2 linked regions of the Notamacropus eugenii genome follow. The protein of the gene in region 2 purifies or fractionates together with the protein of the main gene of each other region. This does not show direct contact. Links are inferred from orthologs where the notes say so. Each region holds a gene or a part of one and is shown on either strand. Other genes may lie near its edges.

Region 1 (10,302 bases), on a different chromosome or scaffold from region 2:
TCTACCTCTGTGCAGATGACTCAAGTCTACAGAGCTCAGGTTCTAGCTTTTCTTCTGAACTCCAGAATAGTATTCCAGCTGCCTTCCAGACTATTCTACCTTGATGCTCCATCTACACTTCAAATTCAACCTGCCCCAAATTGAGCTCATCCTTTTCTAAACTCCCCATTTTCTAGGAAAACCCTAGCCAGCTTTCACTTCATTCCCTCCTCTCAGATCACCTACAGACCCTATGTATGAGACTTCTGCTCCAAAGTCTGCTCTCTTAATTGGTGACTGGACCTCCTGGACTACAAGATTCAGGAAAGCCCCAGCCATGATTCACTTCACTCTCTCCTCCCAATTCCTGTTCAGTAAGGAAGAACCATGATTAAATCTGCTCTGCCATTTTTCTGTTTGGGGAATGTCAATCTACTCCCTAGAGTCCCCACTCACCATCTTCTTAACTTTCTGAACCAAAGTGTTCCAGCCTGGCTACCACCCTTGGAATGTAAGCTCCCTGAGGACTGTCATTGCTTTTGTATTTGTACCCTTGGTGCTTACCAAAATGCTTGGCACTTTAACAAAAGCCTTAACCAATGGTTTTTTTTTTTAATTGATTCAATTCATTCATTCCTCTTGATATTCACTGTTTCCCATTTTCAAAACTTATGTGTTAACTTTGATCCTTTCCTCCTTTTTATTTCCCAAATCCAGTTTAGTTAGGCACCATGGTGTAATCAATACGGAGCCCACTTTCGCATCAGGAACACTTAAATTCAAGCCTACCCTCTGACACAAACTAACTGTGTGGCCCTGTGAAGTTATTTGACTTCTCAGTGTTCCAGGCAGCTTTCTAAGACTATATGTAAGTTGTGGAACAATTCCCAGATCTACATAGGTAAGGGCAGATTCCTCCTAACTGGCTAAATTTCTTATCCCAATGAAATCCTAAGTCTTGACTCCCTCCCTCCCTTCAAATCTAATTATTATCAAGTCCTGATGATTCTATCTGCACATTTCTTAAACTTATTCTCCTTTCTCTATTTCTTTTGCCATTATTCCAGTAGTGGTCCCCATTGCTACCCTCCAGGACTATTTATTAAACACTCTCACCCCATGCTATTTCCAGAATAACAATTCTATACAGAAAATCTCCCCAGATATGTTCAGTGGCTACATATTGCCTCCCAAGTTCAAACCCCTCCACAATTTGAGTGTAACCATACCTTTCTAACCTGATGTCATATTAATTTCTATGTTCCTGCCATCCTGGATGAGTCTGCTTTGCAAACACACACTATGCTCTCTCCTTGTTCATTATGTCTGGCATGCCCTGTCATCCCCTCTTTATTTAATTCTTAGCTAGCCCCCAAAACCTAATTCTAAAGCCATACCTCTTCCAAGAAGATCAACCTTGATCAACCTGATTTCCCAGCAGACTTTACATAACATATTGTTTTGTAGTTCTCTAATTCATTTATCATGTAATTAACATTACAGTTTGGAATCTTAACTCTCTTGTAGACCTGATTTTGTCTTCCTGAGCCAACAAATATTTCTTGAATGTATAGAAGATACAGTACTATTCTTGCATTCAGGAAGACCTTGCATTCAGATAATTACTCGCTGGGCAACTTGACTACCAAACTGAAGGTCTACGGAGTTGTGGTGACTTCATTGTTGTATGCCTGTGAAACAGTCTACCAGTGCCATGCCTGAAAACTGAATTGCTTCCAAGTGAGCTGTCTTAGGAAGATTCTGAGGATCACCAGGCAGAATAAGGTACCAGACAGAAGTCCTTGCTTGAGCTGAACTACCAAGCATTCAAACTATGCTTCAGAGAGCACAACTCTGATGGGCTGGCCTTATTGTTCAAATGTAAAATGTAGGGTTGCCAAAAAGACTATTTTATGGAGAATTCACACGAGGCAGGCGATCGCATGGTGATCAGAAGAAGGGATACAAGGACACTCTCAAGGTCTCTCTCAAGAACTATGCAACATGGGAGACATTGGCACAGGACTGCTCAACATGGCGTGCCCACATCAGAAAGGGTGTTGTGCTCTATGAGCAAAGCAGAATTGAGACAGCACAAAGGAAACATAGGATGCACAAATTTGGAGTAGCCACCCCAAATATCCACATGGACTATTTGTGCCCAATCTGTGGTAGAGCATTCCAAGCTCATATTGGTCTGATCAGCCATAGTCAGACCCACTGAAACTTCACTTTATCATGGTGATGTCATTTTGGTCCTTTTTGAGAATGAAGGACAACAACCAACCAACCAACCAGCTGGGCAAGTCACAACTCTGTGAGCCTTAGTTTTCATATCTGTATAGTGGGAATAACAGTACTTACCTCACAGGATTCTCGTGAGGCCAAAATGAGATAAAATATATTTTGCAAAAGGACTTAGAAAACCTTAAAGCATTAGGTACATGTGAGCTATTGAATGAACAAATTGCACTATGTGTGAATGGGATGGGGTCGGAAATACACACACTGATTGAGGGTTCCTCTTGGGGAGGATAGGCTGGGTGCCCCAAATCTTTTCAATTCCAAGACCTTGTAGATGCCCTCATACATTCCAGGGTAGGTGCTTGGCACACAGTAAACCCTTAATGTTTGTCCACATGGGTTGTGCCTCACATCTGTCCTCTGAGTCTGATTGAAGTAGTTGAGGAATGGGGGTGGGGGTGGAGTTTCAGGGAGATTTTTTCAGTTAGAAGCAGCACTTGAGTATGTCGTGGGGACCCCTTGGTGTGAGAGGATGCTCCCTGTTCCCTTTCTTGATTCCTTCGTGACCCTGGGCGGGGTGGTGGTGAGTATTCCCGGGATGGGTTTATGCCAGGAACCACAAATTTTGGGCACTGTATGGAGAAGGCTCGGTGGTGCTGGGGGGAGAGAGGAATGAGGAAGGAGAAAAGGAAAAATAAAGGAACTGGCCCCCAGCGCCGCATCCCCACGCCTCAGTGAGGCGGGGCTAGTAAATTGTCCTAGGCAACGCACATGGTAACAGCCTAGGAAGTCGTGGGGGAATGGAAACGGGTAGGCTTTAGCTGCTAAGAAGAACTTTCCCAGAAGCCCCCGCAGCAAAGGCTGAGTTGCCATGCCATCCGATGTGCTCTTCCTTCTGATTGGTCGACGGAGAGACTGTACTGGCTCCCTCCGCCAACCCAACCTAAGATTGCAACAAGGCGGGGCCTGAAGGCGACATAATTTTCCCGCCCCCTCCCCGCTCAGGTTCTAGGTTCCCTTCTGTGACGCAAGGGTGCATTCCCAGCCAATCGTAATGCGGTGACTGAGAAGGGCGGGACTACTCCCTCCCTTCCTCGCTCCTTCACTCGCTATTCAACCCTTTTCTTTCCCCATCCCCAGCCCATTTCCTTCCCCCCACCCCCATCTCTTCCCCATATCCCTTCGTCCTCATTTCTTTTGCCCTTAACCCGCCCCCACCCTCCAAGTTCGATCCACGTTCGGTTTCAAACGACACCTTGGCCAATGAGCATCGGGGCCACCGTCGACTGGCGGCCACGACGGCCAATGCCAGCGCGGAGAGAAAGAAGCGCTCGCGGCGCGCTTATGACGACAACCGGCGTGTGACGCAGTCGGACATCGCGCACAGAGCGGCCCGGGCGGCGGCGGGGGCGGCGGCGGTTTCGTGGCGGCCGCGCGCGTTCCGAGCGGCGGCGGCGGGAGGAGGACGATTTTTAGTCCCTTCGTACGGGGGACGCAGCCCTTCGGTAAGTAAGCGGCGACGGTGGCCGGCCAGGTGCGTGGCTCCGAGACGAGGACAGGGCTGGGGCCGAGCTGAGTTGAGGGCCGCCCCTTCCTTGGGAGGAGAGGCCGCGCGCTCCCTTCGGTCCGTACGGCGGGGGCGGGGCCCACGACCCTCTGACCCCGCGACCCAGTATCTCGGCTTGGGGGAGGAGCTGGGGCTGCCTCGCGGGAGAGGGTTTGGGGATTGGTGTGGACGGCCCGCGCCTGGGAGTACCCTGGTTTCGGGACCTAGACGTAGGATTTCTGGAGGTAGCTCTTACCGGGTTTGTTGCGGGTGAGATGGGGCATCTTTTATGCTGCAGATCTTCCGTACCTAGGTTTTCCTGGGTAAAGATTTTAGGGTAGGATTGGGGATTAGGGACCTATGTTCTTTGAGGGTGGAACGCAGCGAGGGCAAAGTCGGCTGAAGTAAGACTTCTGGGTTTTTATCCTTTTATTTTACAAATACTGATTCGGTACCCGCTGTGTCGAGTACTGCCCCGTCCTGAAAGGGGATTTAAAGAGCTTAAGACCTAGGACCCAAACATCTTGGAGTGGACAGTCTGTCTGGTGGTGCTGCTTTTAATTTCTCTTCTAGGAAGTAGAAGGTTGAGATGCTGCTTCATGTGGGAAGTTAACATCAGGAATTTATAAGAGGTTCTTTGCTTTCTTACAGACACTTGGTTTTTCTTTTTTAACGTTATAAGGACCATAATTTAAGAATACTTAGAAGTAACAAGCTGAATCAGTTAACTCAGTACATATTTTTCGAATTAGAAAGCAAAGAAAATAGAGATGGTAGGATGAAAATGTTAATTCCAAAATAAAAGTATAGTATGGGGGGAGAGGGAAATCAGTTGACTGGACTGGTCCTTCTGGTGTTAATGACTCTGGAGTGCTTATTAGGTACCTTTCCTGTTATCCTGATTTCCTGTTTTCTGTTTTTGATTTAAAGGCAGGATAGCCTGTCACTACAAACACAATTCAGAGCTGGGGGAGGAACCTTAGACTCATAGAATGTTAAAGGTTAAGGGAAAATTAACAGGAAACTCTTCATTGTGCCCCTTGGGGAGGGCCCAGATTAGTGGCCTTCACAAAGTGAGTCCATGTCAGAGCCAAGACAAGAACTGAGACGATATGCCTCCCAGTCCAGAACACTTTACTGCTACACTGAATTTATCCTGATGGAACTCTCCTATTCTGCCCATATTGAGATTTTGCTTCTGGTGTTAGAACATTATGTGACCACTTTAGTAGACAGAGATAAGTATTCTTTAGATGTTGAAGATCTCAGGGAGACATTTCAGTTTAGCATGAATGAATGAATAAGTGTTTATTATGTGCCAAGCTTTGTAGTAGATGTCTAGTATGGCAGTAAATGTTCTTCCCAGGCCTAGTTGTATCCTTATCTAGTTTTAAAACCAGATTTAGAACTGATTTCAAGTAACTGACCATTTAGTGAAGAACAGTGAGATACATGAGGGTGGGATGAGGGGGTCAATAAAATTGCAAGTAATTACCTAAATTTGCTTGATGTAGTGGGAAAAGTTCTAGGTTGGTATGCTGGGGATCTGGCTCACCTTCTGTGTGATTTTTGGATAATTTACTTCCCCTCTTCAGGTCTCCTCTTCCATTTCAGTAAAATAGGGAAGTGGTACTATATTATCTTTAAGTGTCTTTTCCAGTTTTGACATTCTGTTATTCCAGGTTTGATATGTAAAACCACTATGGCTAATTGGATAAAATAGAAACATGTTCTTTTTAAAGATAGAATTGCTAAGTGATTGAATGTATACTGGGAATAGAAAACAGGAAATAAGCGTGAAATTTAGAAAACAAATATAAGAATAATATTTCATCCACTCTGGGAGACAAGACTAAGGAATGTTGGTCCTTCTCTGCAGCAGGATTCATAGTACTGTATTGTACATGATTTAGACATAAAGGGTGATACTGTAAGTAAATTAGGAGACCAAGAGACCAAGAAATAGTTTACTTCTCAGATCTGTGGAGAAGGGAAGAATTTATGACCAAATGAGATAAGACGGCATTACGAGTTGTAAAATGGATAATTTTGGTTATATTGGATTAAAAAGTTTTTACATAAAAAAACAAACAAACAATGCATAGTACTGTTATGTAGTAGAGGTTCCTGACTACCTGTGAGAGTTTGTATTTTCTTTGCATGAAGAATTAACTTAAGGGAGAAAGAAGGAGCAATAACCTTTCAGTGTGAGTAGTCTGTCATTGAATCTCAAGGGAATTTTCATGGGACTTCTGAATAACGTTGCTCATATTGGTTGTGCTGTCTCGTTGTTTACATTTGTTTACATGTTTATTGGTGTGTCTTTTGTGGGTAAGGGCTTGTTTATTGGATTAAGATAACTAGGTTTTTCAAAGCCAGCAAACCCTGAAAAGAAGACAATATGGTGTTTCTCTTAATTTAATTTTGTAAATTTTAATTTAATAGAACCTAAACAGTTGTATAATTATTCCTTTGAGCTTTTCATTTGAGAGTCCATAAAATTGAATTAAAGTTTATTCCGGCCTTGAATGAGTCACTTTGTCACTTTGCTTATGTTTAGATGACAAAGCAGAAATGGAAACAGTATTTGGGGAGTAGAAGAAAACTGGTAAAAACTAAATGTCAGTTAAAAAGTGGACATTCTATCTGTGCTGTGGAATGTAAATAAACTGTACCTTTGTATGTGGCAGAGTTAATGCTAACACTACTGATTGCCGGAATGATTGTGGAATACACGCACACACACACACACACGCGCATTCACATTCACACACATTCACACACATTGTAAAATAGTTCTTAATTGTCAGTGTCAACCCCTTGTAGGATGATATTGTACCAAGTGATGTCTTATAGAGAGCCTGGCACACCATTAGAACACCCAGCTCCTAGGGTACTTATTGGGGTTTTATGAAGAGCCAACTCTCCTGACATCTTGAAAGGTTTAGAATAGAATACACAGGGGATCCATTTTATTTTCTTTAAAATTTAAAGTTTAAATCTAAAGGAATGAGAGGATGATAAATAATATTTTCTATAATAAAAGAATATATGTACTAGCATTTGCTTCATGTATTCTATGACCTATCTACATTGACCTTTCTGCCCATGACGCTCCATTTCCCCAGGATGCCTTTTCTGATCTCTCTCTCTGCTAATGTCATTCTTCTGGGTTACCTTCTATTTCTACTCTTGTGGGAGGGGGAATTAGCATTTATACAGTACTATGTGCCAGGCATCGTGCTGGATGTTCACTTGATCTTCACAACAACCCTGGGAGGTAGATACTGTTATTATCCCCATTTTACAGTTGAAAAAATGGGCAAACAGAAGTTGTGGCTTACCCAGGGTCATACAGCTAATAAGGATCTGAGGCTAAATTTGAACTTGGGTCTTGTTTCCATGTCCAGCAGTCTATCCACTGTGCTGTCAACCCATTCTAGTATAGAGTTGTATCTACACAGTTGTTTGCATGTTGTCTCCCACTTTAGATTGTGATTTCCCTGAGATCAGAACCTGTTTTTGCCTTTCTTTGTACGTAGTAATTGCTTAATGTTTATTTATTATTTCCAGTCATGTCTTACCAAACTACAGCCCTAGGTTACTGGGATCATCAGCCTCCTTCGCTTCTCATCATGCGCTGCTGAATGGAAGTGGAGAAAGTCACAAAACTATGCTAGCTGGGTCTCTGTGCTAACTATGTATCTGTTATCCAGTCTCACCTGAGCCTTCACTGCAGCAAGGCTACTCTCTACTTCCTGATTGATCCTCTATCCCACTGAACATTGATAATTTTAAAATTATACATACACATACATGCACATTCACAAAAAATTACCTGAATTCCCTTTCTCCCAATTGAGAACAAAAGAAAACAAAAACTGCTGTTACAAATGTGCAAAAAAAATTTATGCATTGGCCATGTCCAGAAAATTTGTCTGTTTCTTTCTGAGTCCTGTACCTCTCAGGAGGTAGAGAGCATCTTTCATCATTAGTCTTTGAGAATTATGGTTGGTCATTATATGGATCCTATACCCTAGTTCTTTCAGCATTGATCATCTTTACCACGTTGTTATCACTGTAGAAAATTGTTCTGATTCTGTTCATTTCACTCTGCATCAGTTCATAGAAATCTTTCCAGATTTCTCTGAAACCATCCTTTTCATTATTTATTTTGGCACAGTTGTATTTATTCCAGCACATAACTTGTTCAGCCATTCACCAATTTATGGACACCTTCTTAGATTCCCATTCTTTCACACTTCAAAAAGACATAAATATTTTTGTACATCTTTAGTTGAATTTGTTTTGCTTAGGAACGATCCCTCCCTTAATCTGCCTACCCTCTTAATTCACTGATCTTCATTCTCTTTCCTTCCTACTTATATACCAAATGTAGTTTTGTCCTCAAGTGCATATGTATATTCTTCATTCTTGAGGCAGCTATGTTCCTAGGCAGCAGTGCATAGGACACTAAGCAGGGAGTCAGGAAGACTCAAGTTCAAATTGTGGTCTTGGGCATACTTCTGTCGCCTCAGTCTCTGTAACTGTAAAATAATGGGGATAATAATAGCACCTACTTCTCAGGGTTGTTTTGAAGATAAAATACAATATTTGTCTGGCAAATAGCAGTCACTTATTAAATCCTTCCCTTCCCACTTCCTTTCACCAGAATAGAGTGAGGTTCCAGGGTCAACCACTCCTTCCCCCTCCCTTTCACACACTTCCTTGTTTATATGGCTATCTTAGATTATGTGGGATAATTTTTCTGAAACACATGTCCCCTAATGTATATTTTTTCCCCTCTTTTTTTCCATTTTTGAGATCAAGACATAACAGAACCATTCCCAGTCCTTGTCTAATTGGACTCCTTTTGTGATCCCAGATGATGCTAGGGATAGAGGGGACATATGTATCATGTCCCCATATTTGAATGTAAGTGGTTTATCTTTGTTTAGTCCCTTACGATAGTTTATTTGTGTTTACCTCTTATATTTCTCTTAACTTCTGCATTGGAACTTTCTAGTTTCAGTGAAACTATTCTTTCGATCAAGAATGCTTGGAAGCCATCTGTTTCATTAAAAGTCCATTCCTACCCTTCCTTCTGTTGCCCCCCCCCCCCCCCCAAGAAAACGATTAAGCTCAGTTTTCTGAGAGAGTTATTCTTGGTTGTTTTCATATATCCTTTGCCTTCTGGAATATTGGATCAAAGGTCTCTGCTTCTTTACATGTGGATTCTAAATCATGTATGAGCCCTGATTGTGGCTACTCAGTACTTGAATTCTTTCTTTGACCTGAAAGCTTTGGATTTTGGCTATAATATTCCTAGGAGTTTTCATTTAAGAGTTTCTTTTGGAGGAGGTAGCTAGCATGTATTTTCTATCTCTGTTTTGCCCTTTGGTCCTAAGAAATCTGGGCAATTTTGTTGGTTTGTTTTTAAGATTACTTAAAATACGTTTAGGCTCTTTCTCTCACCTTTACCCCTACCCCGTAACTTTAAGGTAGTCCATTTATTTTAAATATTTTTCTCCTCCATCCATTCCCCAGGCATGTTATTTTTGGCTGTGAAATACCTTAAATTTTCTTGCATATTTTTAATCTTTTGACTTTTAATATATCTTTTCTTTTCCCTATCCACTTAGGGTATCATACCCTAACTTGCATTTGCTTTGCTCAAAGGAATGTAATTTTGATCCCCCAAAACTTTTCTTAAGGACCAGACCTTAAACCTAAATCACTCTAACCCTTACTGATTGACCAACAATTGCTCTTTGTCAAGGACCTTGACATCAGCGAGGTGATGATGCCATGACATGCAAGTGAACTGGATTTAAGAGAGGGAGGGCTGTGCAAAGTCACCAGTCTCACTTTCTTCTCCAGAGCTATCTGGGTTCAGTGGCCAGATATGGATCAAGACAACTGGAGATGGCTCAGGATCCAGTGGGGGACTTTGGGCTTTTCAAGCTAAGGTCTTTAACAGGTCTCAGTTTCACTGAGGCAGTGCCCATTCAGTGATTAAGGCTAGGTAAGAAATGAGGCAAAGAATGGCCTTTTTGCCTAGTCAAAAACAAACAAACTGCGCATCTGGGAGGGGAAGACCTCAGGGGTTTTGGCCAAAACAGAAATAATTGTTATTTATATTCATTCTGAGCTAATCAGGGCCCAAACTGTGACCAGGTTAGGGGCTGGCCTAGGACTTTTGTTGGCCAACCCCTTCCCTTTGGGCAGAGAGCACCCACAAAAGGCTAAGGTCCAATGCATCCAGGGCCATTTCTGGTGATCCTGATATCTGTATCTACCTACCCATTGGACCTAGATGGCTTCAGAGGAAAAACTGAGGCTGGTGATTTTGCACAGCCTTCCCTTACTTAAATCCAGTTCATTTGCATGTCATGGCATCACCTCCTGATGTCATGGTCTTCTTCAAGAAGGAAAGACAAACAACACAATATATCTATCTTCTTGTTTCCTGGAGTCATTGACTTCTATTGGGTCATTTCTCATTTTCAGGGAGTTTGTTGTTTGGGCAAGGT
Region 2 (10,302 bases):
TTATTTGTTCTTGCTCTAACAGAACAAGCATCATGGACGAGCTTTTCAAATACATGTAGATGCCATTATAATTAACAAAATATGGATTAATTTTAAAGAATGATCAGATGACTAGAAGCCTCACTGAGCACAAACAGTACAGCTACCATGTGAAGAGGAGCAACAGCTTAAAAGTTATAAATGGGTTCTGAGGAGATGTGGTATAGGGGAAAAGACTGAAAATCAGAGGCCCTGGATTCTCTCTTGACCTCAGTTTTCATCATCCATAAAATGGGAGGGGGTTTGGCTTAGATGACCTTTAAAGTTCCTTTGAGTTCTCAATCTATGATCTGATGTGTCTGCTTAAAAAAGGCTGGGAACCACTGATCTAGTCCATCCCCTTTAATTTACAGATGAGGAGACAGAAACCCAAAGACATGCTGACCTGCTCAGGTACTAAGGGGTAGAGGTGGGACTAAATCCATGCTTCCTGCCTCCCAGGAGGCAGAGGTAAACAGAGCAGTCACACCATTCTCCTGGGATCCTAGGTTTAAAACTTGTATAATCCATGATTCTTTCTCTCCCTTATTCCTTCTCCCTACATGCCTAATTGGTTGCAAGGTCTTGTCCACTCTATTCCATACCTCTCCCACCTTGCCCCTTCTCTCCACCCTAATAAGGCTCTCATCACTTCTTACCTGTCCTATAACAATAACAATCTCCCAAATGGCGCTTCTTTTCAGTCTCTCTCCTCTCTAACTCATACTAAATGTGGCTGGCAAAATCATACTCCTAAGGTCTGACCACGCTACTTACTTATTCAAAAATCTTCAGTGGCTTTCCATCATCTCTTGGATAAAATAAAAACTCCTCCCCTTGGCCTTTAAGGTCTTCCACAATCTGGCCCCAACAGACTGGCAGCCTTTTTTCATATTACTTCCCTCCATAGGGTAGATGTTCCTGGATAACCTTCTGTTCACCGATCTTGGTGGAATGCTGTTTCCATGCCATGCCTTTGCACAGAGGGCTGCCTCTCATGTGTGGGGTATAACATGCCCTCATCTGTGCTCCTCATAACCTGTCCTTCCCTTCTGGCCTCATCCCAGGGTCTTCTCTGTGCAGCCTTCTCCAGCCCTCCTGGTTGTCAATGCTCTCTCCCTCCTGTCTAGTCTTTACTTATCAGTATATATGCTGTATCTAAAGCCTTGGAGGGCAGATTGTTTCACTTCTGTCTTTGCACCTTCAGTGTTTAAAATATAGCATATGTATTATTTTTTTAAAAAATTTAACTAATTTGGTTTCAGTTTTTTACAGTCACTTCCATAAGTTTTAAATTTTCTTCCCATCCCTCCCTGAGACAGTTTGCAATCTTACATGAGTTCTACACATACATTCTTATTAAACACATGTCTTATTAAACCAGATTGCCACAATGTCTCATAGGTTCTACTGCTTTGACCCAAAGAGAGGCCAACCTCCTCCTTATCAGTCTCTACATTCTCCTGTACCAGAGGGTTTCAAATCCCAGGCGGATGTTCTCCTTTTGGTTTATTGGGTTAATAGCTCGATGTGAGCACAGTAAAAGAACTGATAATTAAGCTACGACTAGATTGATTTTTACTACCACTGATAAATACAATTCAATGAAGGGGAAGACTAGAGAATTTACAAGATCTGGTCCTAGCAGTCTATCAATGGTACTTTGTTTTGCTTGTATTTTTAAAAATTACGAACTTAGAATTTCAATTACAATTCAGAAAACCAAGAACCCTCCTCCTTCCCCTCCTCAATTGTCTGAAGTCACATTATCCAATTTCTTTGTGCCTCATTTTCCCCAACTGACTAACTCCTACTTTATCAATCAGAGGAATTAATTGAGTTATGGACATTATTCCAATGAGGCCATTTCCTTTAAAGAGGTTCAACTAATGCTGGAATTACTTTGGGCAAAACAATGCTTTTAAAGGCAGAGATATGCTCTGTAGGATAATGGCCTCCTCTCCATCCTCTCTGAAAAACACATAAGATTCTGATAAAATCTGGATTGTTACTTCATTTTCCAAAGTCTACTGCATAAGATACAAGCAGCAAAATTATTCCCCCTAGAATTTTCTCAATGTTGGATATACTCACCCCCTCAGGTCGGCAATGAGAATCTGACCCCCATTCCGCACATCAAAGATTTTGACAGATCTATCTGACGAGCAGGTGGCCAAGCGGGTGCCATAATAGTCCATCTGGGCATCATGCTGAACATGGAAGAGAGAAATCAGGAGATTTGTAGACTCCAGAGGCTCACACCCATTATTACTAAGGCAGGGATTGTAAATTTGAAAAAAACAAAAACACTGCTCAAGTCAATTCAGTCCCAGAGAAAACTGAAGAAAGGAAGTCAGTTTATACTACGTGAAGATTATAAGTTGTGTTCTCCAATATAAAATGTTCTTAAATTGAGAAAATAAGTTAAAGACATAGCTAGTGTTAAATATTTAAAGTCCCCTTTACACCTTGTCAGTTGAATACATAGTTGTATTTTCTTAGTATGTATCACGACCCCACCACAGGTAAGCTCCTGGAGGGCAGACCCTGTCTTGTTCACTTCTGTATCCCCAGTATCTGTATCGAGCACACAGGACGTAAATTCTAAATGTGCAATAATTGTTCTTTTATTCCTTCTTCCCACAATCTTAACCACCCATATACCTCTGCTGTTCTTTTCCCAGAAAATATTTCAGATACCTTTACCACATACACTGGCTGCACTGTTGATTTGGACCACAGGAATTTCAAGCAACTTTCTGCTTCCTGTAATGACTAGGTTTATTAGACTAATTGAGCTTACTTATTTCATACTAACATTCTGCCCAGTCATTTACTTTCCAAATTCCTACTGAAGCTGGATCATAGGATAGCTCTAAAGTATTAAAGGAAAGTATTCTGATTCCTCTTTAGGAGATCAAGGCCCAATCCCTTGTTTTCCTCAGGTTCTGGCCAAATTTGGATCTCTAAGTCTTAGTGCTGTATTTTCTCCTTTCTGACAATTGCTTCTTAACAACTCAAGATGTGAAACACTTTCAAAAGAAGATCTGCAAAAAGAAAAGCCAGCTGCCAATCACTCTGTGGCCCAGTAAACAAACTGTTGAACATTAGGATGGAAAGTAACAACTGCCTCTATACCAGGAGTTCTCAACCTGAGTTTGTAAGCTTTCACCTGTAATTCAATATAACTGGGTTCCTTTGTAATGTTGCATATTTTATTTGATGCATTTAAAAGTATTATTTTGAGAAGGGGTCCCTAGGCTCCTTTACCAGACGACTGCCAAAGGGGACCATGACACAAAAATGCTTAAGGACTCCTACTCTATGCTGACACAACAGTCTCTCAAACAACAGGGGCATTTCCGAAGAGGACTTGTTACTCTAACAAAGGCTGGATGTGGTCTTCTAATGGCTAAATACTAGAGGTTTGGCAAATTCTCAAAAAAAAAAAACCCAAGCCATTTTGATTTATAAACACATCAAAACTGCGTAATTGAAAATAAAAACTCTGCCATCCCACAGGAATGTCAGTTTCAGATTTAAGTAATTGCTAAATGGAATACTCACAATCATGTCCTCGTGGGAGGTATCCACAGTGTTAATGACCGACACCTAAAACCAAAGATTACATTAAATTAATAATGGCAATTATAAAGCAACCTCTTCAGGAACCCGATCCATTATTTCCATCTAATGGTCTCCTATCCTTGCAAAATTTTCTCAGTATAAACTTCAACAATTATAATCTATGGTCCCTTTCTACATCATTAAGCTTCTGCAGCACTTTCTGTACAAATTGGATTAGACCCCTTTACTCTCCAATTTTGGGCCACAATCCTCCTGGAACTGCTACTTAACATACCATTTCTGACAGAGTGAAGTCATCCATCTAACACTGGAGTATATCTGTGTGATAAGTAGTCTGTAGAGCACATATGGATTATGATGACTACTAGATGCTAGGGCTCCGGATGCTATTACCATAGTTTTCTGCCTTTGTAAATTCTATTCATTGTTCTAGTGCAACTGAAGATCCTACCGCTCTAGGCAGCCTTCTCAGGCCACCCTCACAGAATAAAAGAGAGCTCGGCCTCCTGGGAATTCCAAGGGCGCAGTCTGCCTCTTGCAGAGCTTGAGACATCTTGCCTTATGTGCATTAGCCTATAAGCTGTCAGCATTCTCTTCATTTGTAATTACTTTGTGTTTTACATTTGCCTATTTACATGCATGTTGTTTCTCCTCCCCTTAAAAAAAAAAAAGGTATGCTCCAAGGGGCAGTAACTTTTTTCTTTTTTTTTGTCTTTTTATCCTTAGTTCCACACAATGCCTGGCCCACAAGTTCTTAATAAATGCTTCCTGAATTGAATGGAATTTTGCACTCCCCTGCAAATTCTTTGTGGCAGAGTCTGTGTAAAGCACTTTGTAACCACAAAGTGTTACGTATATAGCAATTATTATTATCAATGGGTTACGTTTGTCTGTTGCCAAAGAAGACCATGCCATCAGAGAAATGATGACATGACTTGCACTTGACTTTGTTTTGAGGGAGGGAGGGCTGTGCAGGTCACAAGCCTCACTTCTCCAGAGCTGTCTGGATCCAGTGACCAGATATTCGTCAGGATGACCCAGGATGTACTGGAAGACCTTGGCCCCTATGCAGGTACTCACTTAGGGTGAGGTAATGCCCATTCATAATGGACTACCAATATGAACACGTGAAGCACTGAAGCATGGCCAATATTATAATTCTATGAAAAGAGTAAAATTATGTATTTAGGTGTGATATGGATATTTTTTATAACTTCAACAATTTCAACTTTTCCTGTTTAAATCGCTAGAAAAATATTACAAGATTTGGTATTCTTCACTTCAGAACAGTAAAGGCAAGGACTGGATAGAGGGGTAGTACCAAGTAGCTGAATGGAGTGAATATATTTTTGTTTACCAAATTAAAAAAAAAATCATTCGTAGGGGCCACCTCTTGAAGCTTACAAGAGGGAACTGTAGAACAAATAAAACACATATTCTATAAAATAAATTGTCTTGGCTCTGGGCTTTCTCTTCTGGCTGTTGCCCCATGCCTGGGATGCTCTCCCTTCTCTGCTTTTACTACCGACCTTCCTGGCTTGCTTTAAGTCGTCATTAAAAATTCCACCTTCTACAGAAAGCCTGTTAAGGTTAAATTATGAACGTCCAGAGTTTATTCCTAACCTCTGTAGCATAACTGAATGCGGGGAGAGGAGAGAACAAGGACCACTTTCCCCCTAAAAGTTCCAGGGGGAAACCCACCTCGGAGGTACAACGTTCCTCAGGATGAACCGTAGCTGGTATCAGTATGACAAAAGGGATCTGCTTCCTAACCCAATCAATCGTTTGGACTTTGACAAACACCACGTGGCAGGGCTCACTCAGGAGCAGAATCCTCGATTAGGGTTTGAGGTGACTTCGGAGTCCAAAGCTGGACCGCCTGCGAGGGCAGGGTGATTTCGGGGCGCCGTGCGCCCCTACTGTCCATTATAACTGACTCTTCCCTTGTCACGCACAGCGCTCCCCCTTGGGTTCTGGCCGGTGTCCCCCGAGTTCGGCTCGGGTTGCACTAGGACTTTTGGGACACCTCTCTAACTGCCGTTTACAGCGGGCACCACCCCGGGGGGCGCCTGGACTTGGGCCACAAAAGCTCCGAGGCCGCGATTTCTCCTCCCCCTCCCCACAAATCCGGGACTGGCCCATTTCCGCCTCTCCTTGACCGCTGACAGGCGGACTCCGACCCCAGGGCGGCCTCCAGGTCTCCGAGGTCCGCACTAAGGCCGGCTCCACGAAGGGGCGACCAGCCACGTCTCCGCCCCACCCCGGCGAAGTGACCCGCGAAGAGCAGGGCGGCCCGGGGGGGCTGAACCGAACTGGAGGCCGCTGCCCGGGATGGGGGGCCGGTCGCTAGTCGCCCCCATGGTCGGCCCGGGGTAGAAGCCAGGCTGGCTGGGCCCCGGGGGTGGGTGGGTGGGTGTGAGGGAAGCAGCGTCCCTCGGACCCGTGCCCTGTCTCCCGCCTCGGGTCTGCGCCGGGGGCTCCCCTAGCCCGGCTCGCAGAGCACAGGGCTCTTACCATGGCGGCGGCGGAGGCGGCGGTGGTTCCCGGCTTCGGACGTGGCAACTCCTCCCGGCTGCAGCGGCGGCGGCGGCGCCCAGGACGGGTCACTTCCGGTGCCGCTGTCAGCGCGTAGAGGGGACGGATCCGGCCTTGTCCGCCGCGGGAGACTTCCGGAGAGGAAACGCAGCCGTCGCGCAAACGTTCCGAGGCATCTTAGGTCGGTGCCCCTCTTGCCGCGCAGGCGCAGAAATTTCGGCGCGTGCCGCGGGCCCGAGCATCTTGATTCCTCTCTCCTGCTCTTATGGGATAATCGATAGAGCTGAGGAGGGAACCTAACGTCCATCCAGACCACCCCTCTTACTTTATCGGGGAGGAAACTGAGTTCAGAGAGATGAAGGGACTTGCCTAAGGTCACGCAGTGACTGACGCGGGATTAGAACCCGGGTCTTCCCGACACTTCCAGGGCTCTTTCCACCACGTTCTGCCCCTGCCCAGGTGGCGGCCTTCCCCGGTCCTGAGACCGTCCCTTCTAAGTGCCCGCTACCGGCGGGGCACGTGCCACCTACCGGCGGGGCACGTGCCTCCGGTGCCGAGCTCGGGGCCCTGGTGCTGGCCAAGGACGCCGGGGTGGCCCCATCTCGTGCCACCCCCTCCCGGGGCTGTGAGGAGGGCCGAAGCCCGTGCCAACACGTGGCTGGGCAGCCACGCTCGGGTCCGCGGTCTTCACCCCTTCCAGCCGGGGCGCCCTCGGTGCCGGCTCCTGGTCCACAAGGACCCGCTTCGCCCCCGCCCCTCGCGGTACGGTGAAGACCCAGGGGAGACGTGGGCAAAGCCAAGCAAACCTGGCCTTGGGCCTCGGGCCCGCGTGCTCTCCCCCAGCCGCAGCATGCTGCCCCCTCCTTTCCCTCTTTCACTCCTTCTTTTCTTTCTCCCGAGCTCTCCTTCCTTTCCTGATCCGCTCCTTCCAGCGTGTTAAGTTCCTGGAGGTCAAGACCTTGTGCCAGGCGCCGTGCCCGTACCCACAGGGAGCTTTCACGAAGCTAGTTTCACAGGTTTCCTGTCTTTAAGGGGCATAAACTCTCCGACAATAGGAACATATTGTTATTCAGTCAGTGCACGTGGGGGCTAGAGATGATTTGGGATACAAAAAAGGGAGAGAAGGATTGTAGGGAGAAATAAGAAAAAGAGGGAGGATCCTAGAATTTTAGGGCTAGAAGGGACCTTTCAGAGCTTGCTGTCTAGTTAGTGTGTTGTGGGAGGGTGGGTGTGGGTGGAGGCCCCACCTTCCCTTAAAACATGACAAGTAAGGCAGTATTCAGCCAGGATAGTATACTGGAATTAGAATCAGGAGGATTTAGGATCAAAATCCTAGTTCAGACACTAACTTTAGGATCCTGGGAAAATCATTTAATCTCTGAGATCCAGTTTCTTCATTCATAAATTAACAATATTATAGTACCTACCTATCAGGGTTGTCCTTGAGGGTCAAATGAGATAAGCTATTTATTATAACTATAATATATTGTGGGATCCTCCAACCTCACCTTGAGCACCATTAAAATATTTGGGGATTCTCAGCAGTATCACACTCAAATAGAAATGGATCTGTGGCTGCATATTGATTTAGACAACCACAAATTAACATATGTTGAATTGTATTTTTATTTTGTCAGATATTTCCCAGTTGCATTTTAACGTTTTCACTGTAACTCAGGAGTTGGGTGGTGAGTTTGCTACCTCTGCTCTAACCCCCTACATCATCAAAGCCATTCTCAATTTAGGAAGCTACCTTTACGTGAAATTTGACAAGTGAAAAAATCCTAGAACCTTGGAAATACTGGGCCACTACACTCGACCATAAAATGAAATGACAAGGAGATGATCGCAGCTAATAGACTGTGAAGGAGGGGAGGTATACATGTATATGTGTATGCATGTTTTGGGGTGGGATAGGATTGGAAAATGAGACTAAGGGCAAGAATTAAGAGAGGACAAGAGCATCTGAGAGAGGAGATTATGCCTTGAGAGGAAATAGATTTTGAGAGAAGAAACCAGACCATACGGAAGGAAAAAATTCTTGAAGAGGAATATGAGGCTGGAGGAAGGATAATACAAGGCCTTGAGATTAGAGATCCTACTTTGAGAGAAGTCCTGGGAGAGGTGAGATGTCCCCTCCTTCCCCTTCCCCCACACCCCCCTCAAAAAAGAGAACGATCCTACTTCAATAGAATTGGCTAGAGATGCTAAGGTAATGAAGGCATCGAGGCTGTTTCAGGTTAGGCTCCATTGTGCGCTTGAGCCATGGTCCAGGATCTGGTCCTTAGACTTGAAACTGAAGAAACTTGATTTCACCATCTAGGACTGATCAGGCTTTAGAGAATTGAATTTCAGGAATCTAAACTCAGTAACAGGCTCTAGAGAATTGAATTGCACCAATCCAAACTCAGAAAGGGACTTACTTAGAACTGCAAATGACAATGGATTAATTTACTAATTAATGGGAAATATATGTGGCTCAGAACTCAGGTTAGATGTTTGTATAGAGCACCCTTTTCCTAGTGGGCAATTCCCATCCGGAAACAGAATTATAGACCACAGAATTTCTTACAGAATTAGGCCAGTGGAATTCAGATGTCTTTAGGCAAGGTACAGTAGAAATAGCAGCAGATTTAGAGTTAGAAGACCTGACTTTAAATTCTAGATCTACCACTTGATGTTCATGTGAACTAGGGCCAAGTCATCAAAACTCTTTGGGCCTCAGTTCCCTTCTTTTAAAAAGAGAGAGTCAGACTAATGACCTCTGTATTTCCTTTTAACTAGAAATCTATGATTTATATTGCAATCAAGCTAGGTAGTCTGATGAATGGGGCAGTTGGGTGGTGCAGTGGATAGAGCACCAGGCCTGGAGTCAGGAAGACCCATCTTCCTGAGTTCAAATCTGCCCTCAGACACCAAGTAGTTGTGTGGCCCTGGGCAAGTTTGCCTCAGTTTTCTCATTTGTAAAATGAACTGGAGAAGGAAATGACAAATCACTCCAATATCATTGCCAAGAAAACCCCCAAAGAGTTGGACGTGACAAAAACAACCAAGTCTGATGAATTACTTTCCTGAATCTAGGGGTTACTGATCTAGAATCAGCACATGTTTCCTTGGATAGAATTAGAGATCTTTACTTTCCAGATCTCCAGTTCTTTCCTTCTGAGATTCCATAAAATTAGGACTCTGATTGTCCTCTTCTTTACAACCAAGGGACCAGAACATACCAAGGTTCAGGTGAATTTTCATTTTGTGAGAAGACTAACTTGGGTCAAGTGAAGGGGAAGGAATAGGTAAGATGTTTGGAGACACTACTCTGGTAGTTTGTGACTCTACCCTTGGGGGCCTCAGCATCCTTGAATGGATGGGCACCCACATCCCCTTACTTATTGCTTTAAGCTCTCTGTCATGGTGAAGGTTCAGCCATAATTCTTTTTTAAAACATCTTCTTGCCCCAGGTTCCCTAAGATTTCCATGGACCTGCATGAAATTCTTACCTTCTTCCTTAAGCTGATTTTGGAGCTGCAGAGAGGGAATGTGAAAGGAGAGTAGAAAGAAAAGGAAGCTCAAGGTAGGTGATGGTGGAATGTGATGATATGTTCAAGGTAAAGAGAATGGCCAGAAACAGGGCTAACATGTGAGTGTGGTGATGGGCAGGGCTTAGTTTGGTAGTCAGTAACCTGGAGAATTTTGCTTCCCTTACCTAATGGGATCTGACTTTCGGTATTGGAAACCCTTCCCTATGTTCTCTCCCTCAAACTTAAAGTTTCCCAGTCAAATGATTGATAAACTAATTAATAATAAAATGTTAATGGCTGATAATGGATTATTGTGTTAACCAATTCACAATACTATAAAATTTTAGGCTATGATTGGAGAGATTTGGGGCAGAGTGACACATTGATGTTCTTTCTCTGCATAGGGCCAACCTTGCATGGCATTATCTAGAGTCTCTTTTGAGTCTCTATTTACATTAAATATTAAAGTAGAGTCAGTAAAAACAAAACAAAACAAAACAAAAGCAAAACCAAGTGAGTTTGAAGCTTCCGAACCTAATTTTGATGGCTGTTTCTTTCATTGCTGTATTGTTCTTTTGCCAGTTAATCCTTGTATCTTGAATCTGTAAAGAGAAAAATATTGGGAACAAGCGGTGACCTTTTG

Evidence for each region.
Region 1: the proteins of SEC13 (region 2) and NUP98 purify together in Homo sapiens (affinity purification with mass spectrometry; 4 studies listed by BioGRID and IntAct, counting the BioPlex papers as one, with this or other methods). This does not show direct contact. The link is inferred for Notamacropus eugenii from reciprocal best matches to the Homo sapiens genes SEC13 and NUP98.

What each region holds. Positions count from the first base shown.
Region 1 is NC_092876.1:96,314,770-96,325,071, forward strand, and holds the start of NUP98 (nuclear pore complex protein Nup98-Nup96), read left to right. Parts: upstream 1-3,582; 5' UTR 3,583-3,728; intron 3,729-3,887; exon of another isoform or gene 3,888-4,014; intron 4,015-10,302. UniProt on the Homo sapiens protein: Plays a role in the nuclear pore complex (NPC) assembly and/or maintenance. NUP98 and NUP96 are involved in the bidirectional transport across the NPC. May anchor NUP153 and TPR to the NPC.
Region 2 is NC_092874.1:435,214,882-435,225,183, reverse strand, and holds the start of SEC13 (protein SEC13 homolog), read right to left. Parts: upstream 6,285-10,302; 5' UTR 6,124-6,284; coding exon 6,121-6,123; intron 3,631-6,120; coding exon 3,586-3,630; intron 2,229-3,585; coding exon 2,113-2,228; intron 1-2,112. UniProt on the Homo sapiens protein: Functions as a component of the nuclear pore complex (NPC) and the COPII coat. At the endoplasmic reticulum, SEC13 is involved in the biogenesis of COPII-coated vesicles.